Linked DNA regions of Arabidopsis thaliana. Each later gene encodes a partner of the first gene's protein in a complex. Each region holds a gene or a part of one and is shown on either strand. Other genes may lie near its edges.

Evidence for each region.
Region 2: CDC2 (region 1) and E2F1 share a complex: the UniProt entries of both Arabidopsis thaliana proteins name them as parts of the DREAM-like complex.
Region 3: CDC2 (region 1) and MYB3R-4 share a complex: the UniProt entries of both Arabidopsis thaliana proteins name them as parts of the DREAM-like complex.
Region 4: CDC2 (region 1) and PC-MYB1 share a complex: the UniProt entries of both Arabidopsis thaliana proteins name them as parts of the DREAM-like complex.

The regions. Positions count from the first base shown.
Region 1 is NC_003074.8:18,069,001-18,075,333, forward strand, and holds CDC2 (cell division control 2), read left to right. Parts: upstream 1-2,453; 5' UTR 2,454-2,671; intron 2,672-3,186; 5' UTR 3,187-3,237; coding exon 3,238-3,246; intron 3,247-3,319; coding exon 3,320-3,504; intron 3,505-3,588; coding exon 3,589-3,709; intron 3,710-3,804; coding exon 3,805-3,978; intron 3,979-4,234; coding exon 4,235-4,398; intron 4,399-4,596; coding exon 4,597-4,684; intron 4,685-4,786; coding exon 4,787-4,840; intron 4,841-5,206; coding exon 5,207-5,296; 3' UTR 5,297-5,641; downstream 5,642-6,333. UniProt on the Arabidopsis thaliana protein: Involved in the control of the cell cycle. Essential for both G1/S and G2/M (mitosis) phase transitions. Functions in cell morphogenesis as well as cell proliferation.
Region 2 is NC_003076.8:7,358,248-7,365,113, forward strand, and holds E2F1 (E2F transcription factor 1), read left to right. Parts: upstream 1-2,287; 5' UTR 2,288-2,501; coding exon 2,502-2,684; intron 2,685-3,154; coding exon 3,155-3,317; intron 3,318-3,448; coding exon 3,449-3,505; intron 3,506-3,586; coding exon 3,587-3,672; intron 3,673-3,751; coding exon 3,752-3,840; intron 3,841-3,934; coding exon 3,935-3,989; intron 3,990-4,447; coding exon 4,448-4,500; intron 4,501-4,574; coding exon 4,575-4,625; intron 4,626-4,702; coding exon 4,703-4,751; intron 4,752-4,838; coding exon 4,839-4,904; intron 4,905-4,984; coding exon 4,985-5,058; intron 5,059-5,143; coding exon 5,144-5,414; intron 5,415-5,544; coding exon 5,545-5,614; intron 5,615-5,730; coding exon 5,731-5,873; 3' UTR 5,874-6,258; downstream 6,259-6,866. Other genes in the region: AT5G22210 (aspartyl/glutamyl-tRNA (Asn/Gln) amidotransferase subunit B), read left to right, coding at 1,302-1,544; OFP10 (Ovate family protein), read left to right, coding at 6,442-6,866. UniProt on the Arabidopsis thaliana protein: Transcription activator that binds DNA cooperatively with DP proteins through the E2 recognition site, 5'-TTTC[CG]CGC-3' found in the promoter region of a number of genes whose products are involved in cell cycle regulation or in DNA replication.
Region 3 is NC_003076.8:3,677,195-3,685,518, reverse strand, and holds MYB3R-4 (myb domain protein 3r-4), read right to left. Parts: upstream 5,772-8,324; 5' UTR 5,444-5,771; intron 5,200-5,443; exon of another isoform or gene 5,127-5,199; 5' UTR 5,068-5,126; coding exon 5,015-5,067; intron 4,889-5,014; coding exon 4,834-4,888; intron 4,595-4,833; coding exon 4,537-4,594; intron 4,446-4,536; coding exon 4,351-4,445; intron 4,237-4,350; coding exon 4,133-4,236; intron 4,026-4,132; coding exon 3,897-4,025; intron 3,789-3,896; coding exon 2,051-3,788; coding exon of another isoform or gene 1,886-2,050; intron 1,839-1,885; coding exon 1,579-1,838; intron 1,486-1,578; coding exon 1,371-1,485; intron 1,241-1,370; coding exon 1,055-1,240; intron 928-1,054; coding exon 835-927; 3' UTR 635-834; downstream 1-634. Other genes in the region: ASP3 (aspartate aminotransferase 3), read left to right, coding at 1-90, 178-262; AT5G11500 (coiled-coil protein), read right to left, coding at 6,573-6,725, 6,813-6,874, 7,061-7,148, 7,260-7,363, 7,503-7,630. UniProt on the Arabidopsis thaliana protein: Transcription factor that binds 5'-AACGG-3' motifs in gene promoters. Involved in the regulation of cytokinesis, probably via the activation of several G2/M phase-specific genes transcription (e.g. KNOLLE). Required for the maintenance of diploidy.
Region 4 is NC_003075.7:15,787,726-15,796,307, forward strand, and holds PC-MYB1 (Homeodomain-like protein), read left to right. Parts: upstream 1-2,407; 5' UTR 2,408-2,844; exon of another isoform or gene 2,845-2,859; intron 2,860-3,230; 5' UTR 3,231-3,313; coding exon 3,314-3,384; intron 3,385-3,520; coding exon 3,521-3,575; intron 3,576-3,799; coding exon 3,800-3,857; intron 3,858-4,023; coding exon 4,024-4,118; intron 4,119-4,218; coding exon 4,219-4,322; intron 4,323-4,418; coding exon 4,419-4,547; intron 4,548-4,708; coding exon 4,709-6,482; coding exon of another isoform or gene 6,483-6,527; intron 6,528-6,806; coding exon 6,807-7,054; intron 7,055-7,161; coding exon 7,162-7,276; intron 7,277-7,388; coding exon 7,389-7,607; intron 7,608-7,798; coding exon 7,799-7,918; 3' UTR 7,919-8,191; downstream 8,192-8,582. Other genes in the region: La1 (La protein 1), read left to right, coding at 1-69, 347-489, 580-728, 842-964, 1,054-1,348, 1,454-1,601, 1,697-1,769, 1,868-1,958. UniProt on the Arabidopsis thaliana protein: Transcription factor that binds 5'-AACGG-3' motifs in gene promoters. Transcription activator involved in the regulation of cytokinesis, probably via the activation of several G2/M phase-specific genes transcription (e.g. KNOLLE).

The DNA.
Region 1 (6,333 bases):
CTCTAGATGAATTTATTTTCTTGTTAATCGTTTTCAGTAACCGGTATATAAATAAAAGTTTCGTATGTGAACCACTCGGTTCTATGGTGTAGTGGTTAGCACTCTGGACTTTGAATCCAGCGACCTGGGTTCGACTCCCGGTAGGACCTTTTTTTGCTGATTGACTATTTTTTTTTGTCACTGCCATGTTTCTTTTTTCTTTGAGACTTTGACGACATTTCAATTATTTTTTTTGTTTGGGCCTTCAACTTCTGTTTTTTTTTTGTCAGGACTTACGACCCAATACTTACAAGGGTGATTTGTAGATATAGCACTTTTTCACTAAATAATTAACTAACTAACACCATAAATTTAAAAATGTAGTAAATAACCTTCAAGGGGTGTGAAAAGACATCACTGTCCTGCTGTTACGTTTGGCAGCGAAGAAGGAGAATGTTTAGTGTGAGCTGACGTGGCTTTATTATTGGTGTTGAGGTGAGAAAAGAAATCAGGTGGTAGGATAGAAGTTCCATTTTCTCTTACTTTTTTCTTTACCCCTTCCCAATTGTAATTCATATTATCTGATCTTAAAAAATTTAATTCAAGTTCATGATATATCAATTAAAAAGTTGTATAGTTTTCTACATATATCATGACTTAAATTTTTGAAAACAAACATAAAATAATTTAGATGTGAATAGTGTTGTCAATGAATAACATAAAGTTCTATATAGATAAACAATATTTTTTTATAGAAAGATATTAAACCCTAAAGGATAATATATAGAGAACCCAAGAGTTTAAATCTAAACCAATAATTAAATCACTTAACATCCTTAATCAAAACAAATAATTCATTTTAAAACGTATATAAAACAAAGTATACGTAAATAGTATATTTACAAATAGAATAGTATCTCTCAAATTGCAACAACGAAACTCAATTTCATCACCAAGACACCAAGCGCAACAACGAAAGTCGATTCCCTGAATCCAAATTGTGTTCCTCCCTCTGTAATTCGAAACCCCCAAATCAAATCTCACCCAAAAGTAATTAAGAGACTCTGATTTGAAAACAAAAACAAGTAACGAGGTAGGTGTAAAGACTTTACTGGGAGAAAGAGAGAGGGAGAGGGAAAAAGAAAGAGAGAGAAAGAGAGAGGGGGAGAGAGAGAAAGAGGGAGGGAAGATAGAAGGGAAGAGAGAGGTAGACGGAAAGAGAAATGGAGAAAAATAGATAAAGGGGTAAACTTGGAATTAATATACAAAATATAGAGGATATCAGTTCTTTTTCCTTTTGATGTTAGTTTCTTAATTATAAACTTTTTGTTGGTTAGTTTTGCCAATTCCCTTACTTACAACTGATAACCGTATAGCTCTTTTATCAGAAAAAACTTTATATATCTAATCTCCCAAAATATACAAATGTGAGAAATATCTGAAAATAAATCAATTCTCACCAATTATATATATTTGATTACTTAAAAATGTTAATATATGGCAGTTGCTTGTTCAGAGAATAACTTAAAAAATTGATCACGAGATCGGCTTATGTTTAATATTTTTGAACTCTTGGGATAAAAGTTTTGAAGATATATATATCGTAGAAAAGTTTTGTGTTCTTTAATTAGTTACAAAATTTTGAGTTTTTTTTTTTTCTTTCATAAAGTATCAGAATATCAGGGTGATTTATTGAATAGTTTATTTTTTCTCGTTCTACTCACGTTATTCTTGCAAGTATTAATTTTGGTTTGTTTATAAAAAAAGTATTTGGAAATTTTATGTGAGCAAGTGCGAAATAAACGAGGATTTTGGGAAGTATTTTTTTTTTTGTAAAATCGGTTATATTGAACGTTATACTATATATATTATTATATAAATATAACTGCTAAAGACTAAATTTAGATACTAAAATCAGCATTGATGAAGATCCACATGAATAAGACTCGTCTCTTAACTCAACATTTAACATATGATTTTCATATTATTGATCATTTATCTTTGTGTTGGTCCAAGGTGCCAGACTTTATTATTTACATTAAATGTTGAGTTGTTTACTGACATATTTTTTAATTAAAACAACTTTCATATTATTGCCCATTTATATTTTGGTTGGTCCTCCAAAGACTTACAGGATACATATGTTTCTCCATTTTCATTTTTATGATCTAAAACGTCTTTTTCTAACTTAGATTCTAAATGGTTACAGCAAACCGGACATACAATTTTGCTTGTCAAATGGATCGTTGAGATAGACAACAATCCAATGTAAAACCAAAACTCTTGATTTATAATTGGTCTGCAATGATTTTTTTTTGGTTCATATACCATTTTATAAGATAGCAAACCATTTTCATCATAAAAGATATATTTTTTTATCATTGAATACCAATCAAACCCGGTATAATAAATAAAATTGTACCAAATTAATGCGGTTAGGTAAATTCAATTTATTGGAAATTAAAGAAGAGAAAAAAAAAATAACGAACAAAATTTCCTTGACACAAAAAAAAAAAAAGAAGAAAGAAAAAACCCTTACTCTCAATTAGTCAATCCCCTTCCCTAGTCCTCCTCTCTTCAAGCTTTTCACAGAAAACCACCACCCTTCTCTCTCTACTGCCTTTTTACCACAGAGAAGAGAGAGGATCCGTCGGTGTGCTAGTCTCACTGACACTACATCCGATCGTCGCCGGTAAGTTGATTTCGTTACTCTCCGATCAATTTCTTTTCCGGAGGAGGAACTTGTTTTCCGTGCGAAATTCTGACTTGAACTTTGTTGTCAATTCATCAAACGCTTTATCTTTTCTCCATCTTCAATTATCTTACTGCTTCGTCGCTGATCTCTACTTGTTTTCCTCCGTTTTGCATTTTCAGTGGCGTTTCTTAGTGTTTCACTAGATTTAGACTGGTTTTGCTTGTGTGCATTTTGTCATCAGTGTTTATGATTGTTCGCTTTAGCTCTATGTTTCTATGGATTTGATAATATATGAGTTCGCTGCTCTGGATTCAGCTGGCTTGTTTGATTGTTCATTTTCATAATTCTGTCCAAAGAATCAAATCCACAGTAGCTCGGATCTGAGATTGATTTGTTTCTTTGCGTCTTTGTGTAGATTTGACTTTAATTTTGAGATTGTTGTGTGCTGATATACAGCTTAATTAATATAGCCTCTGATGTGTTATTATCGATGTGTCATTATCAATCTACAGGTGACATTTTATAAGTGTGGAGTTTACTTCAGCTTTATTATTCAGGAATTGATGGATCAGGTTGGTGTAAATAGTTGTTTCAGTTCTTACTCTTTTGACGAGAGTCTCTGTTAATGTGCTCTTATTAATGCAGTACGAGAAAGTTGAGAAGATTGGTGAAGGAACTTACGGTGTGGTTTATAAGGCACGTGACAAAGTGACTAATGAGACAATTGCTTTGAAGAAGATCAGGCTAGAGCAGGAGGATGAAGGTGTTCCTAGCACAGCAATCAGAGAAATCTCCCTCTTGAAAGAAATGCAGCACAGCAACATTGTCAAGTATGATGTTAATACCATTGTTGAAAACTGATTCAGCATGATGACTCTGGTAAACAATTTTGATTGATGTTTTTTGCTACACAGATTGCAGGATGTGGTGCACAGCGAGAAACGTTTGTATCTGGTTTTTGAGTATCTTGACTTGGATCTCAAAAAGCACATGGATTCTACTCCTGATTTCTCCAAGGATCTACATATGATCAAAGTGAGTGCTAAGAAACTTTAGGCATTGTTTTATATATGTGCTTAAACTCAATACTCAATATAAGCTGATCAGAGCTGTTCATCCACTATTTTCAGACATATCTTTACCAGATTCTCCGTGGAATTGCGTATTGCCACTCTCATAGGGTTCTCCATCGTGATCTGAAGCCACAGAATTTGTTGATTGATCGCCGCACAAACTCACTGAAGCTTGCTGATTTTGGACTGGCCAGAGCATTCGGTATCCCTGTCAGGACATTTACTCATGAGGTACCAAAGAGCTTTATTCCTTGTTCATATGTTCCCGTTATGAAATCTTTTGGCTGGCTGCATTCCTTATGAGTGTAATGTAAATTAAGTATTATACCACTTATGTGTCTGATAAATGTGATGAAAAGGACTAAGCCATTTCACATAGACGGTTGAAGTAAGCTAGTTCAAGATACTGTAAAATATTTCAATGCTACATCCAGATTTCAGATCTCTTCCTGGTTATTCACACAATTTTTGCATATTGTTCCTTTAGGTTGTTACTCTCTGGTACCGAGCACCAGAGATACTCCTAGGATCTCATCATTACTCTACACCTGTTGATATTTGGTCTGTGGGGTGCATATTTGCTGAGATGATCAGCCAAAAGCCCTTATTTCCTGGAGACTCCGAGATTGATCAACTCTTCAAGATTTTCAGGTTTAATTGCTAACTTCCCCAGTCCAATATTCCTCTATATATTACAAGTGCAAAGACTTGTCTGCAATGATATCACAAGGGATTGTGGAAACATTTTCAACTTGATATCACATTTTGGAGAAGTAGTAAAGGACACAGAAATTGAATTGTTAACTGATTATAAATCTGTTACTGCCTTGTTTTGTTGTCTTCTTCTAGAATCATGGGAACTCCGTACGAGGATACATGGCGTGGGGTAACTTCTCTACCGGATTATAAATCTGCTTTCCCTAAATGGAAACCAACGGTACTTCAAATGTCTTTATTCGCTTGTACATCTTGTCTTCAGTAGTCAAGAGTTCACAACATATATTAATTCTTGCCCTTGTTTTTTTTTCTTATACCACAGGACCTAGAAACTTTTGTCCCCAATCTAGATCCCGATGGAGTCGATCTCCTTTCTGTAAGTTCACTGAGCTAGATATATACACACACATATATAGACACACTACTTCTGCTATTAGAGACCTGTATGCTTGATTGTGATGGATCTGGTCTCATGTTTCTTACTAAAAACCTTTTAACCATTTGAGGTTTTAGATGTCTTATAAAGTCATCAAGAGCCGGCGTACTAAAACCAATTCGATTAGGCTTCATAGTTTCAAAACCACATGAAGCCAAAACCAAACTTGTTTGAAATATGAACAATCTTCAAAAACCAGGATTCTTGAAATTCCTAACCAAACCAGACATCTGGATAGAAATCTAAGATTTTGAGCTCCTGTGAAAGCAAAGATGATAATATATCTCTCTGCTTGATTTGTTTCAGAAAATGCTGTTAATGGATCCGACCAAAAGAATCAACGCAAGAGCCGCCCTGGAGCATGAATACTTCAAGGATCTTGGAGGCATGCCTTAGAAAGGCATAAAACCAGTAATCTCCTTCATTCTATATATAATTATCAATCCTAAGAAAATGAAGAACAATATTAATGGGTTTTGTTTATTCTTTTTCTGAGTTCGTTTCCTACTTATATTCTATTACGAAAAAAAAGAAAGAAGAAGATTTCGAGTGTGTTTTTTTTTACTTCTAAGCTTTTGAGATCAGTTTCTTGTATCTTATTTTACCCAGAATATAGTATTTCCCTATATGAAATATGGTTTTTGTTTTGCAAAATGACCATATTATGCAACTTCTCAGCTTCTTGATTGTGCCTTGATAGTGATCTTTTGAAATATATCCCAAAAAACATCACTTTTTTCGATTTCATTAGTACTTATTTACGAGTTACGACGTCATTTGATAACTAGTATATATGGTCCGTCGATCTTAATTTCCTATTTATAAAGGGTGCACCGTTTTTAATGAGACAAGAGGGTCCAAGTAGCCAATCATTAATGAGACCAAAGTTGACCAGAAAAAGCTGACAAATAAATTGACGAGAAGAACAATTCAACACGTATTCGATAGTTTGGATTACATTTTACAGTTGGTCGAAATTCGAAGTAGATCAAATGTCAATAATCTAATTCGAAACTAAATGAAGGTACCTGATAACCATTTCAGTGTTAGTTAGCAGTGGTTTCAATCTATTCACTAAGCAAAGACGCTTCCATTCTGAAAATCAAGTCCAATGGGAGGCATAAACTTAAGTGTCTGAAAAACTCAAAAAAGCATAGCCTCGTGTAAAATAGACCGATCTATTTATTCATGAATATATGTATGATTATCAAAGTGCATTTATACTTTTTACGTTTTAAAATTTCGTATATAAACTTTCCTTAGTGAATATTATAACATAATTTCTAATGAAAACTTGTTATATATTATTATTTTATATATATTTTTGCCAAGAGTTATTATCATTTTAAAGTTTTAGACATTTTTACTTATTGTTGCAGAGCGCATTTTCTCTTACAATTTATCTATTAATCAATAAAATAATTATAGACCTT
Region 2 (6,866 bases), on another chromosome or scaffold:
TAGATTCTTAGTTATGTATGATTCTATGTAATAGATGATGACTTAATACATGTGAGTTGTGACATCAACGTCACGTTGGTGACGACATTTGCACACCTTACCGTGTGTGTAGCGTGAAGCACAATTATCCTTTTTCTTTTCCATAGAAAATGTTATCAATTTCTTTTCATAAATACAAAATTAACTGATCAACTTGATAACGTGAGAGATGAAAACAAACAAAAACAACACTTTTTTTTTTCTTTTCCTAACTTTAGAACTTTTGTGATTTCATAAAATTTTGGTTTTACAAATTCATAAAGCAAAAAAAGGAAAAAAAGATGATTACTATAGCGAATATTCGTCAACAAACTTAGTCACTTTGCAACTAAACCCACACTTGTAGTCTCTGTAGAGTGTAGTTCACCTTTTTGAGCATTCGTCGCTATGTTTCCACATTTAAACCATAACAGTTGGCCCAAAGAAAAAGTGAAAGCTAATGGGCTTTTTATGTTACTAGGCTTAACCCAGAAAATGACATACAGCTAGCGATACGACATTGGTTTAGCTCTGCAAAACGCTCTATAGTGTCTGTCTGGTCAGAAATTCTTCGACTCACTTTCGGTTTCTGATGTTTTGTCTCTCTGATTGAAAAAGGTAAAATCTCTTGAATCTATATCATATCGCTAAGCTTAATTTGCTGGCTAGGATTTTACCTGATTTTTTGGGTATATAGTGATGATAGAAATTTGAAGTAATTTCTCCAGTTTTCTCATTGATTTAGGGGTTTTAAATGTAGACTTAGTATTCATGAATGAGTTGATTTCTAATTGATATTATCATGTTAATCATCTTGAAGAATTGACCTTGAATTGGTGGTTCATAGATGTCTCATCTTGTACAATTTATTTGCTCGAGGATCTTATGATTCTTGGACATAGTGGAACAAAGATAGCTTTAAAAATGGACGCTGAGATGATTACTTGGTTGATGTATAATAGTTTGGTCTCTTAATTAAGGTTTTGATGGTCCTTAAGGTTAGTGTATAGCTTCTATAGAACTTTTTAGTCTCTCCTTTTAGATGGTTATGACGAATTGACGATTGTGTTATTCACGAGATAATTTGCATCCGAACATGTAAATGTTACACACTTGCAATATTGGTGTGCATGGAGAAATTATAGATTGTGTTAAGTGTTAATCCCAAAATGCATCTGCTAAAAGTGTTGCATAATCATCTTGTTGACTAGATAACTTGTTTTTGTGGTTTGGACAATGTGACGATACTATATATGATGTATGTAAAGATCGGGTTTTGCAAGATGGGAAACAAAGCTACAACGGTGAAAGAAGAACGCGAAGAGATCCATTTGAAGATTGTACCTCCATTGGACAAAGTTTTTCTGCGTTGGCTCGCAAGAGATCTCCAGAGAGTTCATGGATTCAAACCGAAGAACAACACTCGTGCGATCACTCCTCCAGATAGCTACATCGAGTTTATGCGGTTAAATGGATCGCTTGATGTAGATTTAGATGACCCTGATCTTGCCCATTTGTTCAAGTAAAAAGGGGTTCTTCTATTGTTGTCTCTGTTTGTTATGTATGAAGCTTTCAAAGTCTTAGTATCTTTTTTGATTACTCATACAGTCATACTTAAAGCTTGTGTTTTGGAAGCTCAGTCTATAAATATATATTATCTTCTCTAAACAGTATAGCATTCATAAGAGATCCAAGTGTCTGCATTCAGACGACACATGTTTCTATTGTCTTGGTGCTATGATTTGGAATCCCTATGTTTCGAGGTTCCATTTAAAAAAGTTGTTAAATGATGAGACACTCATGAGCATAATTTTCATCAATATAGTTTTGCCTCACCTATGAATTAAAAACAAAAAAACGTATAAGTTCGACAGATTTTGACGATAATTGCTCACACTTAACGCGTGTAACGGATGCTGCAACAGTTTGATGAAATTATTATGCTCCACTTCTTAACATGAATAAATCCAAAATTCATTTTTTTCCCCTCAATCTCAAGGAAATAAAACTGTATCCAAATTAGTTACATAGCTTTATTAACTTCGTTGACTTTAAAAAAAAAAAAACTTACTTAAAATTTTATAATTTTGTATTATATATAAAAATAGGATTATTATTATTTAGTAGAGAGATATTGGTAAAAAGATTTGTGTACAAAGAGAGAGATAAAGAGCGCTAATTCCCTCCACATCAGTATTCAGAACCAAACGCAACTCATTCCCTCGTTTTCTCTCTTCCTCTTCCACCGTCTCTTTTTTTTTTTTTTTTTATAATCCTTCCTCTTCTTCATCTTCTTCTCCTCTCCCGCTTTTTTTCGATTCGCCGATCTCTTCACATTCTCTTCCCGGAATCTCCGTAATTCCCGCCGTAGATCTGCTTCTTAATCGTTATTGGGATCTCTGCTTACCGGAGATCCGAGTTTCCGTGACAATTTTCGCCGTTTCTTTTTTTTTTTGGGGGATTTTTTATCGAGATTCGTTCTTATGTCTGAAGAAGTACCTCAACAATTCCCATCTTCTAAGCGGCAGCTTCATCCTTCTCTTTCTTCTATGAAGCCTCCTCTAGTTGCTCCTGGTGAGTATCACCGGTTTGATGCGGCGGAGACTCGCGGTGGTGGAGCTGTTGCTGATCAGGTTGTCTCTGACGCGATTGTGATCAAATCTACTGTAAGTCTTTTTTCTTCTCAATTTTGCTTGTGAATTTTGCTTTATAATTCTCGTGTTTTCGATTGTGTGTGAGGTTTGGTTTTATTGATTATGATTTTGATGATGTCGTTGCTTTAGATTTTGATGAGAATTGTGTCGGGATCTGCTTCTGTTGGTGTTAATTGCGTTTGGTCTCTTTTGATTAACCTTGTTTGTAGTATTGGAATTAGCATTGCAAGTACTTATTGAGTAGTTTAGTTGCTGGACTTAGGGTTTGTGGTGTTACTGTTATTGCTATTTAGAGCAGATTCATGCACTTTTGTGTTTATGTTTAGTTAAATTAGTTTCTGAATTTTGCTATGTTGGAATTGGTAAAAGTTGTGTCTATGCTTTTAGATTTCAGCATAGTGACAGTATGATGCTGATAGGATTTGATTCTGTTCAATTCGTTGATGTATTTAACTGTTCAATTTTGGTGACTTTATTGGCAGCTGAAGCGTAAGACAGATTTGGTAAACCAAATAGTTGAGGTCAATGAATTGAATACCGGTGTTCTTCAAACACCTGTATCAGGGAAAGGGGGGAAAGCCAAGAAAACTTCTAGGTCTGCGAAGTCTAATAAGTCTGGAACGCTAGCTTCTGGCTCTAATGCAGGTGAGTTTGGTTCTAAATGCTCTGTGTTAGTATGCCAATGAGAAATATTTCTTATGTGCTCATCTGAGCTAAATCTTCTTTAAAGAGTGGAGATATTGCAATGTAGTGAGAAGGATCTTTTGTGTTGGCAGGTTCTCCTGGAAATAACTTTGCACAGGCCGGTACTTGTCGATATGATAGTTCGTTAGGTAATAACTTATTTCATTAACTAATGTTTAAAAAATGTACTTTTGGATAATAAGTTTTTTTAATGATTTAATCTGCTTCAGGTCTTTTGACAAAGAAATTTATCAATTTGATAAAACAAGCAGAGGATGGTATTCTTGATCTAAACAAAGCAGCTGATACTTTAGAGGTGACATATTTGAACTCTAGACTCCCATATTGATGTATTACTTTCTGTCAAACTTAGCTGTATGTTCCTGTTGATGCAGGTACAAAAGAGAAGGATATATGATATAACCAATGTGTTAGAAGGAATAGGTTTGATAGAGAAGACGCTTAAGAACAGGATTCAGTGGAAGTAAGCATGTCTTAGAACTGTCAAATCTTGGATTCCTTCCATTTGATGACTCATGTGTGAGCGACAGTACTCTGAATTTTCTTGTCTGTCTTAGGGGTCTCGATGTCTCAAAACCAGGAGAAACAATCGAAAGCATAGCTAACCTACAGGTACAGAACATGCCTATATATTCTTTACCTTTTCATTGCACATTTCACTGCGAACTCTGTTATGCAATGCTCAGTATTATCACCAGTTTTATTATTGTTTTCACGTTAAGGGTATATCTTAGCTTGCATTGTCTTCTTGAACATCGTATGAATCTGCATTAGTATGATTCTTGTTATGCCTGTTTTCTGAGAGCTAAATGTGTTAGGAGGTAACTAGGATACTAGTAAATTTACCATACACACAAACATCGATGACATGTAACCACAAGCTCTGTTTTGTATACCCGTACTGGCACCTTTGAATGATGAGTTTCTGTTTTATGTTTGAACCTGTTGAATAAGTGGAAATTGGTACTGCAGTTTTTCTTCGATCTCAGTCACTTGCATTGATTTCTTGTTTTGGGTTTTTGGTTCGAAAAACTATTCATGTTTTATAATTCCTGTTACCAATCTTACAGGATGAAGTACAAAACCTCGCAGCTGAGGAGGCAAGATTAGATGACCAAATCAGGTATTTTCGCAGATAATTTTCCTTCCCTTTTCTGCTGTTTTGTATCATCTTTTTGAGAGTCGACCTGGTTGCAGAGAATCACAAGAAAGATTAACAAGCTTGAGTGAGGATGAAAACAACAAAAGGTAAGCGTCCCCTGCTATTTCTTCTGCCGAAAGGTACAATAAAACATATCTGTTTGTTCTGACGCTCCACTTTTTAGGTTACTGTTCGTCACTGAAAACGACATTAAGAACCTACCATGCTTCCAGGTCTGGTCTCCTTCTAGTAATTACGTGTTTCTCTTTGCCTTGCATTCTTCTCACTGGGGAAACATGTTTTTGTGGTGCCTATTTTAGAATAAGACGCTGATAGCTGTAAAGGCACCGCATGGAACAACTCTTGAGGTTCCAGATCCTGATGAGGTAAGCTTAAGAGCGCACAAAACCAAATGAGCGATGCACTGTCTGTAACGATTCTCACCTCTTATCCTGCCATTAATCAGGCTGGTGGTTATCAGAGGAGGTACAGAATCATTCTGAGAAGCACAATGGGACCAATAGACGTGTACCTAGTCAGGTAACACTGTCCTCAAACGTTATGCTTGCCCTGGATAAATCTGTAACATGGAAGTGAGACTGACATTTATATTGTGCTTTTTTAGTCAATTCGAAGAGAGCTTTGAGGACATTCCTCAGGCTGATGAACCTTCAAATGTTCCTGATGAACCCTCTAATGTCCCTGATGTACCTTCAAATCTTCCATCAACATCTGGTCTCCCTGAGAACCATGATGTATCTATGCCGATGAAAGAGGAAAGCACCGAAAGAAACATGGAAACACAGGAAGTTGATGATACGCAAAGAGTTTACTCTGACATCGAATCTCATGACTTTGTCGATGGTATCATGAAGATTGTTCCTCCAGATTTGGATGTAAGTCCCAACTGCTTCCTCAGCTTAAAATTTTCACCAATGTACATAATCACAGTCTGGAAAAGTAACCATATCTAAAAAATCATGCTTGACTTAATTCATATTTACCTGTATGTTACATTATATACAGATGGGTGTAGATTACTGGTTTCGATCAGAGGTAGGCGAAGTCAGCATCACAGACATGTGGCCAGATGAATGTATCCTTGATTTCTATCACTTTCTGTGATTTAATCTAATCTCTCTTTGAGCTTTTGAGTTTTTTCCTCCCCAAATATGATATCTGTTTAGAGCTCCTTGACTCTTTCATCATTAGCTGGACCAGACTGGAACCAGATGATTACATTTGATCAAGACCACGCTGGACCGAGCGACAACAAAATCTTGGAGCAGCCACAAACTCCATCGAGCCCAACACCAGAAGAATCCACTGCTACGAGATCACCTACAGGTAGCTGAAGTTACCATACCACATTACAAGCACCACCATATATCTGTACATAGAATCTGATTTCGGTGAAACCAGAGTTAATGTTGTACTTGTACAGTAGCTGCATTGCATTATCATAGAATAGAGATTGCAAAATAAAAGTAGAGAAACCAACCCCTTCGTTGTATTCTTCATTTTTTTTCTTTGTTAGCTTCTCAGGCTTAATATAGAATTAGCCTTAGCCCATTGATTTCTTAATATTGGTCTTGTTCATGTGAAACTGCAAAACCTTTTAGAGTTGTAGACGGGTGCTTAGTAGTTTTACATGCTCCATTTCCGGTTTACCAAAAAGGTAACCAGATCGAAACTAAAACATATTTCCGTTCATCAAAAATCTTGACGAAAACATATTGGTTCGGTTGTGGTTTGAGAGATTTCTTTTTGGTTCAAATCGGTTTCTATGTCCAATCCTTTGATATCACTCGAGATAGTTTCTTACAAATGATATCATATATAACTTTGAATTCACCTCAAGATGGTATTATTTTCCTTAAAAAAGAAATCCATCAAAATTGTGCATCTCCAAAGCAATGAGCAATGCTGAATCTCCAAGCTAAGTTAAATGAAAAAAAGGTTCCTCTTTTAACAAACTTTCCCACACCAACATCCTCACTCAATAATCTCAACTTGTTTTCTCTTCCTCTAGTAAAAAAAAAAATGTCTTTCAAGAAGATGATGAAGTATATACTCAAAACCATATTCAAACCCATTTTTATGGCATGCGGTTGCGGCTCTACCGTTCCACCTTCCTCTCACAGCCACTACACCCCGGGACCACCGGTTTCTCCCACGGTTTTACGCAGCCCATGTCCTAAGATCGATGAGAGCGTCGCGATGGCTAAAGAATCAATCAATCCGTTCGAAGATTACAAGAAGTCGATGAATCAGATGATCGAAGAGAGATATATCGAGACGGAAAGTGAACTTAAGGAGCTTCTAAGGTGTTTCTTGGACATAAACCC
Region 3 (8,324 bases), on another chromosome or scaffold:
GCAGATTGGTATGTTTACCTTCACAGGGTTAAACCCAGCTCAAGTCTCCTTCATGACTAAAGAGTACCACATCTACATGACATCTGACGGGTAAGCGCCTGCCTCTCTTCTTCATCTATTAATTTTCTTGAATTTTGTCTAACTTAGTGTGTGATGATTGATATAAATGAACCAAAGGAGGATAAGCATGGCTGGTCTGAGTTCGAAGACTGTACCTCACCTTGCAGACGCTATCCATGCTGTTGTCACCAAAGCCGTCTGAGAAACTGAACACCACCATGACACCAAAGCTTCATAATAAAGATTTTGTTCTTTTCTTTCTATTATAGCATTTCCGGCAGTGACAAGATAAATGTCGTTACTATTATTATTGTTTCATCCCAGTATCAATAAAGTACGCAAGAAAGCTTTTGTGCTCTCTCTTCTACTATTGCTTACAACTCTTTTTTGGTTTCTTATAGAGTCAAATGTTTAAGAGAAAACATTTGAGATTTAAGCTGGTGAACTTGAATACAGTTCATGTAGAATCTGAGGTTTTAGCATATGACGGAATTGCAGAAACTATTTAGATTAAACTAGCAGAGAACAAGAATAAGTTACTGCAGTTGGTTCGTTTCACAGAGTATACGGACGTGTACTCATTGCAGGCAAATGAAATATGTATATATATATTGAACACAGAATCTACATAAATTCACTCCAATTGATCCATTAAAAAGAAACAGAGAAAAAAAATTGATCCAGCCAGGGATAATTCATAAAAGATGCACATACATATTTATACATTGTTCATGTATGGTGCATTTTGCATATTATGTATAAGCTTTTGGCATTTTACCTACATCCCTTCAAGAGGTAGGATGAGACTTCTTCTGTTGCTTTGATTGGAGACTCGCAATCGTTGAAGTCCAGCACTCGACGCTCCGCCTATAGATTGAGAAATGTTCAAAACACAAAATCAATGGAGCACAAAACATTTTTCTTTGTTTCTAGAACTATAATCTCAAAACCGTCTACTTAGAGAGTGAATGATTTGTAGAGTATGTATATATACCAGTAGAGGATCATTATTCTCTTTATCCAATTCCTTCTTCTGCCTCGCATCATCATTAGTAGGTGAAATTGAAACCTCCATTGCATCTGCAAAAGCTGCAAATGCACTTGTATGTTCATTTATCTGTGTCATCACTCCTATGCTCTCGTAGCTTCTCTCCCCAGGACTGAAAATGTAGCCCATGTCCTGAAAAAATAAATACAATTAAGTTGCCTAAGGATAACATGTCTATATATTAAAAGAATTTGAAATTATGCACCCATGAAGTAAAAATGTTGAATATAGGATACAAGGATCTTAAGGCATTATCAAGTACCTCGATAGTTAAATCTGTGTCAAACCTTGGGCTGGGCAAGAGAGAGTTTATGTAAAATGGAGATTTCCAGGCTGAGGGAGATTCAAGACCTCTCCTGAATGGAGTTCCACAGAATCTGTAAATGGAAAGAAGAAACAAAATCATTGTAGCAAGAAATGAAAGCAAAAAGAGGACAAGGAATATTTTAGTAAGGGTGGTATAGATGTACATGCTAAAATTCTCATTGCTTGTCCCATTGTCAACAAGATGACCCTCCTTGTTTCTCGCTCGAGAAGGCGAATTAATCACTAAACAAACACTTGAAGGGGAATGATGTTCTTTGTTAGACGTAGCCATGAGAGTTCTTTGCAACTGATTTCTTGGGGTTGAAACTTGCGCCTTCTCTGCTTTAGTAACTGACTGACCAGGAGTAGACAGGACTGGCTTACCGGTATTGTGCTCAGAAAGAATACCAGAGAAAAATTCAACCTGCATAAGATTTGATCCATCATAAAGGTTATGTATGTCAGTTACATCTACAATCTATTGCTACAATGACGATTAAAACTCACCAAAACAATGAAGATTTTAACACAGGTGACAAAATGACATGATTGGCGACAAAATCTAAAGGAACTGAGTTTGTGTAAACCAGTAGCACAACTTATATTCAAATGGTTAAAGGAAAGAAAGAGACTTACATTCTCAACATCTTGTTCAGAATCATCCTTTTCCCTGACATTTGCCTCCATGCAAATTTGGTCTACTTTCTCAAGCGATTTTCTGATATGCATGGTTTCTTCTGGCATTCTGTGACTAAAGAGTGAAGAAGGCTTGCCACTCCATTCTTCACCGTCTCCATTCAAAATGTGAAAGTGGTTTTCTCTATCTCCATGGATGACACCAGTGCTATTTCCAAAATTAGATTGCCGATTCTCAGTCTCATCAAACATCACATCTAAACGTGAAAAGTCTTTTGCCAGACTGGCTGCTATATCAATTTCAAGCTTTTTATCACTTCTTTTCTCAGATAACGGTGTCAGCAGATCACGGGTCCGTTTCCTAAGGATTGACTGTGCACCAACCAACGTCTTTTTCCCAGTGGGAGATTCCCACAGTCGAAGGGGACTCATGCACGTCATGGTGGACATCAGTAGCTTGCGTATGCCAAGTGGGCTATAATCGTGTAGAGGATCATTTTTAGATTGTAGAAGATCACAGTTAAAAACAGGTAAGTCGAAGCTTGGGAAACCAAGACTTGATGATGCCCCCATATCCTCATGATGCTGCTCGTTTGTCATGTTTGGCTCATGCTTAGGTAGAGAGTGTGGCCTATCTTCTGCCAGAGAAGCAAAATCATTCACTGGAACCAACTTTTTGGGATCATTCACATGATATGATTGATCTTCTTCGCTGGAGTTATTGGTCCCTTCATCAACACAAGTGGAGCTTGATGGATCACCGATGCATATGAAGCTACCATTTCCATTTGTTGTGCACTTTGGTTCTACCTCAAAGGGATGACATATCAATCCAGATGACTTCTTGCTATACTTGTCTGGTGATATGATTAAGGGAGCTGGCCGAAGAGTTCCTTTTCCTGAGGCGGCCGTTGCAGTGAACCTTGAAGAAGAGCTCTGCGTAGGAGATTTTGTAGCTTCTGATATCTGTCTGTCTGAAGCTGATGAATACAAGATAGGATCTCGACGGTCTACCTGGTTAAACTCGTTTGGCTCTTGGGTCAAAGATCTAGAAACACTGTGCCCTTCACTCTCTTGATCAGGGAAAAGTACCCTGCAACATTCCGTTTCAGGTGTCAAAACGTTTGCTGAGTTGGTGTAAGTAGCCACATCAATATTTAATGTGGAGTTTGGAGCTCCCAGAGTAGATTCCTTGCTCTCCTTGGTGTATGGCATTGGTATTTCTGACATATTATGTCTCATCTCGAGTGATATATCTGATAGTTCCTGAAAATCAAATTGGTAATCCTGGCTTGGAGAAGTCGAGACATTATGATCAGGAAACTGTGAACAGTCTTCCATGTCATAAGAGACTTCGGAGATGGAGACTGAGATATCCTCCAATTCCGGATAGTAAAACTGCTCTGAATGATACGCAGTTTGCTCATTCTCTTGAGAGTTTCCACAGGGGTGGAAATCATGCCCAATATTGATAGTTCCATTTTGAAAGTCTCTTGCAGATAGTGAGCAGCCAACCATGCTTGAATTTTGACGGCTGTCTATTTCGTTCTCTGCCTGTCCATTTAGGCAGCCATTTCCATCTATATTACTTTGCATAAAAGTTGATTGTAATGTAGAACTTCTCTCATAAGGAGCTAGAGGCATGGCTTGGTACTGATCCAAAAGGCCAGACGACATGTAGGAATCAAGTTTCTTCTTGACTGAACTGTGCCAGTGATTTTTAATTCCATTATCCGACCTGTTGATAACATAGCAGAAAACTATATTGCTAGAACAAATAGAAGAATACCTTTAAGATTGAATAAATATGTACGATGATTTTTCAAATAACAATAGAAATGAGTACCTTCCAGGCAAGAACTTTGTTAACTCAGCCCATCTATTACCATATATTTGATGAGCACGAATCAGAAGCAGCTCTTCTTCTTGAGTCCAAGCTTCTTTGTTTATGGCAGGATTGAGATGATTGTGCCACCTATATCAGTAACAGCCTTCACAGTTAAAATCTTGAAAAGAGGACAAAAACTATATAGTGCTAGTAAAACACTGTTGTTAGAGAAATAGCTGTCTCTATAAGCATACCTCTCTCTACATTGCTTTCCAATACGGCCAGGTAAAAATCGAGCAATAGTGGACCACTTCTTCGGCCCATATTTTTCGATTAACTGAACGATCATTTCATCTTCCTACACACATGTCAAACGAGAGCAATAAACAGTCATCAGAGATGTTTGCAAATTCAAAGCAAACAGTGCAAGATGCACATGTTATAGAAATAGTGGAGGAAAAAACTATGTCACCTCCTTCGTCCAGGGCCCTTTAACAAGTTCAGGATTAAGGACCTTTTGCCACCTGTGGAGGCACTGGACATCAGTTCGATCCTTGAAGTATTCAGCTGAGAGTTAAGAAAAGATGTGACATGCATTTAGACAAGGAAGATTACAGTTCACTTCAGTAAATGAATATAGAAAGGAAAGAATGTCAACCTATCTTCTTCCAGTTTTTTCCTTTGAAACTATGGACAGCTTTTCTCAAGATCTCATCCTGAGAATATGTTTGGTTAAAATGATTTAGCAAATATGCAGATCATAGAATGTAAAAATGCATATATCCAAATGTCTACTTCTTGTATCTCTCATGATCAATGATATCATGCAAATGAACAAACACAGGGCAGAGTTTTGTTGCATATATCAAGAACGTGAGACCAGATTAATTGGCTACATGAACATAGGATTGGAAAGAAACTTATAAGAAGAAGCTGATGGAAACATAAATTTCACCTCCTCAGCTGTCCATTGGCCTCGAGTTGAACGTCTTGCAGGGCCACTAGTCCTCCTGTAAAATCCACACAATTGGTCATGCAACTCAATTCTAGGTGTGACAAACATGTCAATCTAGTAGGATATTGTGGCAAGCTAACAATTTATTAGTTAGTAAGATATGAGAAAAAAAGAAGCATACCCGTGACGCAATTTCGGGATCCGTTCCTGAGGGGTTGAAGACTCAGCTTCCATAACTAGTCAATGAAAATGCAAAAATAGTCACCCCAATTCCCATACGTTGCCTTTCTTCTCTGCAATGTTGTAACTCCAAAACATTATATTTCAAAACTACTATTCCCTCCTTTGTACCATCTCACAATCTTCCTAAGATAAATTGTAAAGAAAAAAAACACTAAGGATTCAGCTCCAAAAAAAGTCGGTCGCTAATCAGGACAAAACATACTCGAAGCTTGAAAATAATTACAATGACTACTAATTGTGAACTTTTGTTCGCAGTCATTTTTAAAAAGAGCAAACTATTTAGATCAAGCAGACAATAAATTCAAAATCAAATCATACCCAAACCAACCTAGATTCAAATATAGAACCATGGAGTCATAAAACAAACCTATGCGAGCTTCAGAAATGGAAGTGGTTCATAAATCGGAGAGAGACAACGACGATACCCAGAAACTGGAGAGACCAAAATGCCCAAAGTAAATCCAATCAAAAACTAGAAATCTCCTCCAATCGGAGATAAATGTTCACGATCTGAGTTAATAAAGAGAGATTAATTGAAAATTTTCCCAGAGAAGATAGATAAAAGAGAGAAATCTAAACGGTCGGCAGAGCTATTTCAAAACAAGACTGGCGGAAATTCAAAAATGTTAAAGTCTCCTTCTTCAACAAACCCTATACAAGTCAATAACGTTTGGTTTTTTTTTTTTTTTTTTTTTGAGCGGCTCTCAGTCTTAATCTCAGCCGTCCATTTTAAATATTTTCGGTCACGTGTCTCCTATCTTTTTTTAGTATTTAACGGACATAATTATTTAGTTTCTTATCCTTTATTTTCCCTTCTTTTTCCCTTTTTTTCAAATTTTCACTCAGATTTATTTAATACCCTTAGATTTCCAAGTACACCAACAGTTGGATTATTGATTCAAATCACTTTAGGGGCCACCATAATTATTTCAAATCATATATCATCAACAAGCCAACTATGGTCGCTAAAAAAAAGTAGTCTAAGCACTAGTGACTAGCCCCGCTAACTTACAGTAATAACCCGATAGACCCACTGCAATCACGAGACAGGACTGTTTAAATTCAACCCGCAAGTTTTAACAATAGCAACTATGGTCAAGAATAAAGTGATTCCAAAACCCAACCCAATGCAGAGTAACACATGAAGCTTTATGGGGTAGTAAACAAATTTCAGGTTACACAGCAATGCAGAGTAAACCATAATTGCACCAGATCACTGGTTCACCTGTGTCATATATAGAATATAATGCTCTCCTTTTTCCCACAGATCAGATTCAATCCTTTTGAAACATTTCAATGGACCAAGGAGTCCAAGAACCAGATTAGGGTTTTAGGTATTCAAGATTTTTTTAAAGAAAACATAGAACCGGACAACCATCAACATCATAGTTAAGGCGAGTAGAACATCATAAGCCTTCTTTGAAGGACGGTACCAGATCATCTCTGGCAGAATGTTACCGACTTGGTTTGTTTTGTTTCTCATTTCTTCAGAGCTTTTACATGAAATCGTCTTCAAGTTCTTGAAGCGATTTGTTGCTTGAAGCAATGTCTTTGTTGGATGTCATTTTATCAGTTACCATTAGTCCCTTGTAACTCCTCATCTCTGATTGCCTCTCCTTCTCAAGCCTATCTATCTCTTCACGTTTCTTCTGCAAAATCCAGAAACAACCGAGGATTTCAGTCAAAACCCTAATCAAAGACGTTTAAGATGATAACGACCAAAAACAGACACTGACCTTCTCCCTCAGATGTTGTTTCCTCTCTGCCCTTTCTGCGGCATTCACTGCTTCTCTCTCGGCTTCATCAACACAGTTATGAACAATCAAATTATTTTCATAGATCTTGAAGTTATACTGACTGGAAAAACTACAGACACTTAACTGACACTTCATCAGCAGGAAAATTGTTAAACGAGAAAGATGTATGCATGATCAATCTTCTACCTATTAGAATCTGAGGAAGAGCTCACAAAACAAATACTAACCTCTCAGATCAGGGGTTCTTTCAACTTTTGTTTTGTTCAGTCTGTTAACTATTTCATTGACTCGCTTCTCCACTCTGATAGTCCGGACCTGAACGAAACAAATATGAGTTAGGTATCAATATCATCGAAGCTTTACAACCATACTTTGAGCAGTTTATGTATGCGCAACCAAAATTTCTTTAGAGATGAAGAAGCTTACCATCTTTGAATTGTGGAAACCAACTTGACCAACATCCATGGAGGCAGTTTTCTTCAAGTTGGACCACGGAGTGTACACAACATCAACGTTGTTCACCTTGTTGCCTGGCACATAATCCCAGACACCAGTCGGTAAGAAAACAGAAAAAACCTATATGTGCCCTCCTTCTAAAAAACAAACTGGTACTCTAAGACTAATGGTTATGCAAATGTTAAGTTCACGACAGGTAGAAAAAAAGATTACCTTGAATGGAGTTAGCTTTCACAAGCTGAGCACAGTCCTCCAGCACACCTTCACTAATGTCATCAAAACTTTGGCCTCTATGAAGCCTCAAGTAAACATGAGCTGACGACATTTTATCCACGTGAAACCTGCATCAAATGAAAATTACTTTTAGCAGCTTGGTCGTGAAGCTCCTAAAGTTTATAAGAAAAATAAAATATTCAAATTAGAAGATAAAGACAACCTATACATGTCTAAACACATCAAAGATTGACATTAGCAAAAAAAGAATGAGTATAGAGTAGACATGATTTACCATAAGTTTACTCATACATCCCAGTTATGAATAAACTTACTGAACCGCAAACGATTTGCTCAGCAGCATATGATCAATAGAAATGCTATGAAACTCAACTCTAGTTTGTTTTTGAAAAAAGGAAGAACAAACCCTTATTCATATCAACAAACATCAAAGTTTGAAAATAGCCAACACAACATGAGTGGACAATAGACATGCCAAAAAAACAGCTCTCAAATAGGGGTGAGTACACAACTTCCAGTAAATCCATAAATCTAACTCAAAGAAGGACTAATCAATTAACATTATCACGGTATTTTCATATGGCAGCTGCAAAACCAGACCAAACAACATTTCAGAAAGTTTCCAAACATCACCACACTTGAATGAACACCAAGACTCGGCGATAAGGGGCCCCAATATATCTACCTTTTCAGTACTAGTTAACCATAAGAACACAAATCTATCTATATACCCACGAAAAAGTTTAAGCAAGCATCATAATTCTCAGTCAATTCTAATCCATCTCACACAACAAACAAAGA
Region 4 (8,582 bases), on another chromosome or scaffold:
CTGAAGATACCATCAAAGCTGTTGCTGATACTCTTCGAACCTCTTCTGCTCTCAAGATTTCTGACGATGGTGAGTTTCATGATATAATCAAGTTTCTGTTGGGTTTGGATATAGTTAACAATTGCTTTAATTGATTCAAACGAAGTAGTGATATCTTAGAAGAAAGATAATAGTTTGAGAGTTTCAATTATAGGTGAATGGCCTGTGTAGTGCATAGTTTAAACTTAGTTTCATTAAGAAAAGTCTTTGCATGTGGATTTTACAAGTTTGATAATATGTGGTGTCAGATTGGAGAAATATGTTTTGTACAGTTTAGTGATCAATTTTGTTGGATTTTCTTAAACAGGGAAAAAGGTTGGTAGGAGTACTGAATTGTTGAAGCTGGAAGATTTGATTGAGCAACTTAATGCTAGAACAGTAGCTGCGTCACCTTTCTCCTATGATGTTAAAAGGGAAGACGTGGAATCCTTTTTCAGTCAGTATGGAAAGGTAATCCACTATCGATTGAATCATAAGCCATTGTTCAAAATTTAGATTGGTTATACAAGTTTTTGGTATATGTATGTGTCGTCCTTGCAGGTTAATAGTGTGAGGATGCCTCGTCATGTTGCAGAGTCGAGGATATTTTCTGGTGTTGCCTTGGTTGAGTTCCCTACAGAAGAGGATGCCCAGAATGTTATGAAGCAGAATTTGGTCTTTGCTGGTCAGGAGTTGGAGCTGAAACCAAAGTAATCATACTTAGACATGAAAACATGTCCTGTTTGCTGACTGTTTCTCATTTTACAAGTCTTTCCATTGAATGTTTGGATGGGTTACTTAAAAGGTGATATATTCTTTTCAGGAAAGAGTTTGATAATGAAAGGGAGAAGGATGAAGTAAAATTTGCTAATTACCAACCTCAGAAGGGATCTGCAAATCAGAAGAATGGTTCTGATCACAAAAACAATTCTGCTTATGAGCCAGAGTAGGGGTTTGACTGTTGCTATCTAATTACTTGTCTTTTCATGCTAATAATCCTCTTGATCTGATTATGGCTATTTTATCGTATTGTAGTTATCCCAAGGGTTTGATCATTTCATTCACCCTCAAGCGTTCAGCTGAAGAGGGTACCACGGAACAAAAAAGTTCTGAGGAGCCAACTGATAAGACAATGGAAGAAAGTGAAACAAAGCCAGCAGATACTCCTGATGCTGATAAAGAAAACACTGGTGAGGTTCAGGCCGAGGGAGCAGAGGATGAAGATGATGAGAAAGAAGAAAAGGGTGCTCTAGCCACCCATAAAGATAATAAGGATGTTGTCTTACGTGAAGATCTTAAGGCTGTTTTCGGAAAATTTGGTGATGTCAAGGTACTACTTGAGTTTTACTTAGCTGTCTGTCAACATGAATCAGATTCAATATCTCATATAACTGACATCATTTTCACTGATTCCTTTATTCTTTTTGTTGTGAAGTTTGTTGATTTCAAGATGGGATCTGAGACGGGTTATCTTAGGTTTGATGAACCTGAAGCATCCCAGAAAGCCCGTGCAGCAGCAGTATTAGCCAATGAAGGTGGACTAGCCGTGAAGAATTTTATTGCTGTCCTAGAACCTGTTATTGGTAAAAACACCTTTTCAACTTCAATCTTATCTTATAACTAAACCTTGTGTTCTGCTTTAGTTAAATGGTCACTTGTTTATATTGCTCTCTGTCAGGCGAAGCTGAAAAGGAGTATTGGACTCTCCTACGAAGCAAAGATCGGTTTGACAAGGGTGGCCGTGGAGGAAGGTGAGTTCATGTTTTTGTTCTGGTTTCTTTGTTATGATTTTGTTTCAAATGAAGTTTTTGTTTGGTTCTTCAGATAATAATATACTTGGTCTATGCAGGGGAGGAAGAAGAGGAGGGAGATTCGGGAGAAAGAGGGGATCAGATTCACCGGGTGGTCGCTGGAACAAATCTCAGAAGGTGGAAGCATGAGAGATTTCGCTCGTGACTGCTTCTGTTTTTCAATATATTTCTAGTTGCAACTTTAAATTTAATGTATCGACTGGTGACTCGTGATGTTATAACTAGAAATAGCTGCTTATTTGGCAAATTTTGGTTTAGTCATATTTGGTATTGTTTTGTTTAGCTTTATGTGCCTTCTTATGCACACATCTCTTTCCTTAATTATTTTAAATCGATGTTTAGGAAGCATTCTAAAAGACAAACTATTAATATTAACTGCTAAAAGTATATTCCTGTAAATTCTACAACTGTATCAATTGACTCACTGATGATGACACTATTTTACTTGAAGTAGTTAAAATTAATTTTGAAAATCAAATAGTTTTGGTATTCTTCTTGGTCTTCTCGTTTGACTTTGTCTACATTGTTATTAGGTTTTTATGCTGATTTTAGAATTAGCTGTTACTGGCAATTTCATCTTCTTCCTTTTTAATGAGAAAAAAACTCTTCTTTCATACAAAGAATGCTTTGCCGTTGTTTAGAAGAAGAAGCAACAGAGAATCTCGAAAGAAAAATGAATGAAGAAACGTATAAATAAATAAATTGAACTTTTATGATATGAGAGACTAAAAAGCGAGATTCAGAGATTGAAATCAACGGCTGAGATCACTTTCCTTTTTGTTTTGATCTCTCTCTCTCTCTCTCTCTCTCACTTCGAATTCCGTCCGCCTCTCCATGTTTGAGTTTTGAATACCTCTCTCTCTCTCTCTCATTCTCTCTCTCTCTCTCTCTCTCTCTCTCTCTCTCTCTCTCTCTCTCTCGACTTCGATTTCGATTTGTGTTCTTCTTCTTCTTCATCTGGATTCTCAGCGTCTTAATTACTTCAGATTAATTTTGGAATTCGTTGATCTGCAAGGTGTGAGCTTTACTCGTATGACCTCGTCTCCTTCTCTTATTATGGTCACATTTTTGTTAGTTTTCACGGAGACTTCTTCCTGATTTTTCAAAAATCTACTCTTTGAACTTCTCTTACTTTTTTTCGTATAAAGTTTCGATTTTCTTCAGATGATGTTCGAAGCTTTTTTCTCGAGGTTTTTGTTTTGGGTTCTGAAACTAATTCGGGCTTCTTATCTTAGGTTTTTTTGGATCCAATCTCAATATCTAAAGCTACCTTCTTCATTCTGTGAACTTCTTCCTTGTTTTGACTTTAGTTTGCTCTTTTGCTGTGAAGCTAATGCTGATTCTTAGTCTGAGTCCGACTGTGTTTTTAATTTTATGGTTTATCTTTGTTTCAAATTACAGCAATGTGCTTCGCTTATGATGATTTCTAAGACATATCAAAGAAACGGACTTTGGGGTTTTTCATATTGCTTTCCTTGCTAACTATGAAGCGTGAGATGAAAGCACCTACTACTCCACTAGAGAGTCTCCAAGGTGACCTCAAAGGAAAACAAGGGTACGCTTACATCTCTCTTCCTTTTCTTCTATTGGGTTTCAATGTTGAAGTTGGATTGCTTTTGGCACCAAATTTTGCATTCAACTAGACATTCTCAGGTTAATAATGATGCAAGCTCTTTGTGACATTTTCATAGGAGGACATCTGGCCCTGCTAGACGATCTACCAAAGGACAATGGACACCTGAAGAGGTGCGTTCCGTTCCTGTGTCTTTTTTGTTGTCTATCTGATTCTTCCATGCTTCATATTATGTATCCTGGAACACTGCCTGAGCTTAATCAGTTGTCTCTGTAACACCCTATTGTTGCTTCGCACAGTTCCATTTAACTAGTTGACATTAGCTATCCTTTGCATCTATTGAAGAATTCGTCTCTATGAAGTTTTCTGTTGTATCAATTCTGTTTTTCTGGATCAGGACGAAGTCTTGTGTAAAGCTGTTGAGCGTTTTCAAGGAAAGAACTGGAAGAAGATAGGTAAATCGAATAGCAAATTCTGATTTCTTCTTGTTTTCCCAGTTTGTTTTTCCAGCGTATGTTAAGATCATATCAATAATAATCTACTTTAGCTGCCATGTTTATTTGTAGTCTTTAGTTAGTACGGTGAAAGTAATATGTGGTTTTATTTGATTCACCTTTTCAGCTGAATGTTTTAAGGATCGGACTGATGTTCAGTGTCTTCATAGATGGCAAAAGGTCTTGAACCCAGAGCTTGTGAAAGGACCGTGGTCAAAAGAGGTGATTTTGTGAATTGCTTTATATGCTTTACTCGGTTTGAGTCTAATACACCTTAGCATTTGTAATGTGTTCCATGACATTACTTTTCCATGTTTTGAAGGAGGATAACACAATAATTGACCTGGTTGAAAAATATGGGCCAAAGAAATGGTCTACTATATCTCAGCATTTACCTGGGCGCATAGGAAAGCAATGTAGGGAAAGGTAATGCAAAGGCTCTCAACTTCTTTCCGATAAAATGATATTTACATACATTGGGTGGTACTTCAACGCACATAAACAATATTGTGGGTGATGTAGGTGGCATAACCATCTTAACCCTGGGATTAATAAAAATGCATGGACTCAGGAAGAGGAACTGACTCTTATTCGTGCGCATCAAATTTATGGGAATAAATGGGCAGAGCTTATGAAATTTTTGCCAGGAAGGTAAATATGTCTTTTCCATGGGTCCTAGTATAACAACATAGGTGTAACATGTCCGTAAAATTGGTGGCCTCATAAATGAAATAATAGGTTTTTGATGCTGGTAGTTGTGGTCTATCGTTCCTGCTTTGGTGATTTGCTTATTTTTTCTTACGTTCCTGTAGGTCAGATAATTCGATAAAAAATCATTGGAACAGCTCAGTTAAGAAGAAGTTGGATTCCTACTATGCATCAGGTCTTTTAGATCAGTGTCAAAGCTCGCCATTAATTGCCCTTCAGAACAAATCTATCGCTTCATCTTCCTCGTGGATGCACAGCAATGGAGATGAAGGTAGTTCAAGGCCAGGGGTTGATGCTGAGGAATCAGAATGCAGCCAAGCTTCAACTGTTTTCTCACAATCAACCAACGATTTACAAGATGAAGTTCAACGTGGAAATGAGGAATATTACATGCCTGAATTTCATTCAGGAACGGAGCAGCAAATCTCAAACGCTGCATCTCATGCAGAACCGTACTACCCTTCCTTTAAAGATGTCAAAATTGTTGTCCCCGAAATTTCTTGTGAAACAGAATGTTCGAAGAAGTTTCAGAATCTTAATTGTTCTCACGAGCTAAGAACTACCACAGCTACGGAGGATCAATTGCCGGGTGTATCTAATGATGCTAAACAGGACCGTGGTCTAGAGTTATTGACCCATAACATGGACAACGGTGGAAAAAACCAAGCACTTCAACAAGATTTTCAAAGTTCAGTAAGATTAAGTGATCAACCTTTTTTGTCAAACTCGGACACAGATCCAGAAGCTCAAACTTTGATCACGGATGAGGAGTGTTGTAGGGTTCTTTTTCCAGATAACATGAAAGATAGCAGTACATCTTCTGGTGAGCAAGGTCGGAATATGGTTGACCCTCAAAACGGCAAAGGATCTCTTTGTTCTCAGGCTGCAGAAACCCATGCTCATGAAACTGGAAAAGTTCCAGCTTTACCGTGGCATCCTTCAAGTTCTGAGGGCCTGGCGGGTCATAATTGTGTCCCTTTGTTGGATTCAGACTTGAAGGACTCACTTTTACCCCGTAATGATTCCAACGCTCCTATACAAGGTTGTCGCCTTTTTGGAGCTACCGAATTAGAATGTAAGACTGATACAAATGACGGTTTCATCGATACTTACGGACATGTAACTTCCCATGGCAATGATGATAATGGTGGTTTCCCAGAACAACAGGGGCTGTCATATATTCCCAAGGATTCTTTGAAGCTAGTACCTTTGAATAGTTTTTCTTCTCCTTCTAGAGTGAACAAGATTTATTTTCCTATTGACGATAAGCCGGCTGAAAAAGACAAAGGAGCTCTTTGTTATGAACCTCCACGTTTTCCAAGTGCAGATATTCCTTTCTTCAGCTGTGATCTTGTACCATCAAATAGTGACTTACGGCAAGAGTACAGTCCCTTTGGTATCCGTCAGTTGATGATTTCTTCAATGAATTGTACAACTCCGTTAAGGTTATGGGATTCACCGTGTCACGATAGGAGCCCTGATGTCATGCTTAATGATACTGCCAAAAGTTTTAGTGGTGCACCATCCATCTTAAAGAAGCGGCATCGAGACTTGCTTTCACCTGTGCTTGATAGAAGAAAAGACAAAAAGCTTAAAAGGGCTGCGACTTCCTCCTTGGCTAATGATTTTTCGCGCTTAGATGTAATGCTTGATGAAGGAGATGATTGCATGACCTCTCGTCCGTCAGAGTCTCCTGAAGATAAAAATATATGTGCCTCCCCTTCCATAGCCAGAGATAACAGAAATTGTGCATCAGCTCGGTTATATCAAGAAATGATTCCGATAGATGAGGAACCAAAGGAAACCTTAGAATCAGGTGGAGTGACTTCTATGCAAAATGAAAATGGATGTAATGACGGTGGTGCTTCAGCTAAAAATGTAAGTCCGTCTTTGTCCTTGCATATTATCTGGTATCAGTTATAAAATCCCAGTCATCTCATTCTCTGATGTCTATAGCTGTAAGGTGCAATGTCTGGTACATGGTTATTGAGTCTATTAGTGAACTTCTTGTTGCTTAACACATCATCTAGTATGTTGAATTCTCTTCATGTGAGATCGTATCAATCACATTTGCTCAAACAGATAGCATCTAGTTATTTCAGCTGTCTTTGTAGAGGATTATAGTTTTATAGTTGGTCTAAATCTCCATAACGTAATCTTATAAGCTTTAATCTCTAAATCTCTTACTTGCCCTTGTACCAGGACCAAGAAACTTCTGGAAGTTTTTTTGAGTTACGACTGTGTTCTCCTGGTATGACTCGAGCTAGACCAGATAACAAAGTTAATGCAAGTGCGAAAGATCTATCAAACCAGCACAAAATATCATTAGGTGATTTTCCAACAGAAGAAATGTCATCAGAACCTCTATGCACAGTGGACTCTATTCCTTTATCTGCAATCGATAAAACTAACACTGCAGAGACCAGCTTTGATATTGAAAACTTCAACATGTAAGTTTTACTTTTCCTCTGTATGTGTTTGATAGCTCATTTTGCTATTGAATCATATTAGCTCGAAAGTTCTAACCTAAGTTGTCTTGGTACAACTCGTTTTCCAGATTTGATGGAACTCCGTTCAGAAAACTCCTTGATACCCCATCACCTTGGAAATCTCCTTTACTCTTTGGTTCTTTCTTGCAAAGTCCAAAGTTGCCTCCAGAAATCACATTTGAGGTAAATATGAGATGGAATAAATTTAGTTTCTGGATGTTTTACTTTTTGTTTTAAGTTGAAGCGCCTGTTAATGGACGTATCTTCTTTGTTGTTTATCATTTTTTCTTCCCAGGATATTGGGTGTTTTATGAGTCCCGGCGAGAGAAGTTATGATGCCATAGGACTGATGAAGCATTTGAGTGAACACTCAGCTACGGCATATGCAGATGCCTTGGAAGTTCTGGGTAATGACACACCTGAATCGATACTCAAGAAGAGACAGCTGAACAAGTCCATTCAAGGGAAAGAAAATCAGCACCAGCCTCATGATCAGCTTGGGAACCGATCCCAGGTTTCAGCTTCAACTTACACCTTATATATCATACAAACTCTCAATAAGTTTCAAATTGATCAAGTCCTCTAATCAATACACCTGGTCTAGCTTAATGTTGAAATTGGATCTTGAACTTGGTAGATTAAAAGGAATAACAGTTTTGAGTTTATAAATTGACGTACTGTGAACCAATTCTCTGTGGAATGCAGGTGGAGTGTCGCGCCTTAGACTTCAGCGATTGTGGGACACCAGGGAAAGCTAAGGTACCTTCGGCTTCTCCGGGAGGCTACTCAAGCCCATCATCTTACCTTTTGAAGAGTTGCAGATAGAGAAGGGTGGTTTTGTTCATAGAGTTCTGAAGGGAGTCTCGCCTTCAATTTTTTGATCCCATATGTGTATGTCTTTTTTATTCCCTCCTTGTCCAATTTTCTTGTTTCTAATTTTTTTAAATGTGTAGATCTCTCAACTCTGGACATCATACCATTGATTAAATAGCGAAAAAGTAACTTGTTCTCAAGTAATTAACTTGTAACTCCAAAAGTTCTCGTCCTCATGATGAACCAAGTGATTTTCTTCTTGTTCTGTTAAATGCTAAGAATTTTTCACAATGTTCAGGTATGATACTGATTCATAAAACCATTAAAAACCAGCAAAGTTTGTATTATGATATTGTGTAGACACAGATTCTTCTTTTATAGGACTTGGAAGTTAATACTAATCCTTTTATGATGCTATTACTGTTGATCTAAAGGTTATTGTACAATCAAAATGTATTGTTAGGCCTATACTACAAACCCAAGATTCCTACAATGAACAATGTAAACGATCAAAACCGACCATGAACTGCTCAAAAGACAGAACCAAACACAATCTTGATTGATCCACTATGTGTATATCTACAACAGCAACAGTCCTAACCGTTCTGATTTATCTTCCGGATCAAAATCTTCTCATGATCCGTCCATAAACAACATCAGCAGAAAGCAGAGACAT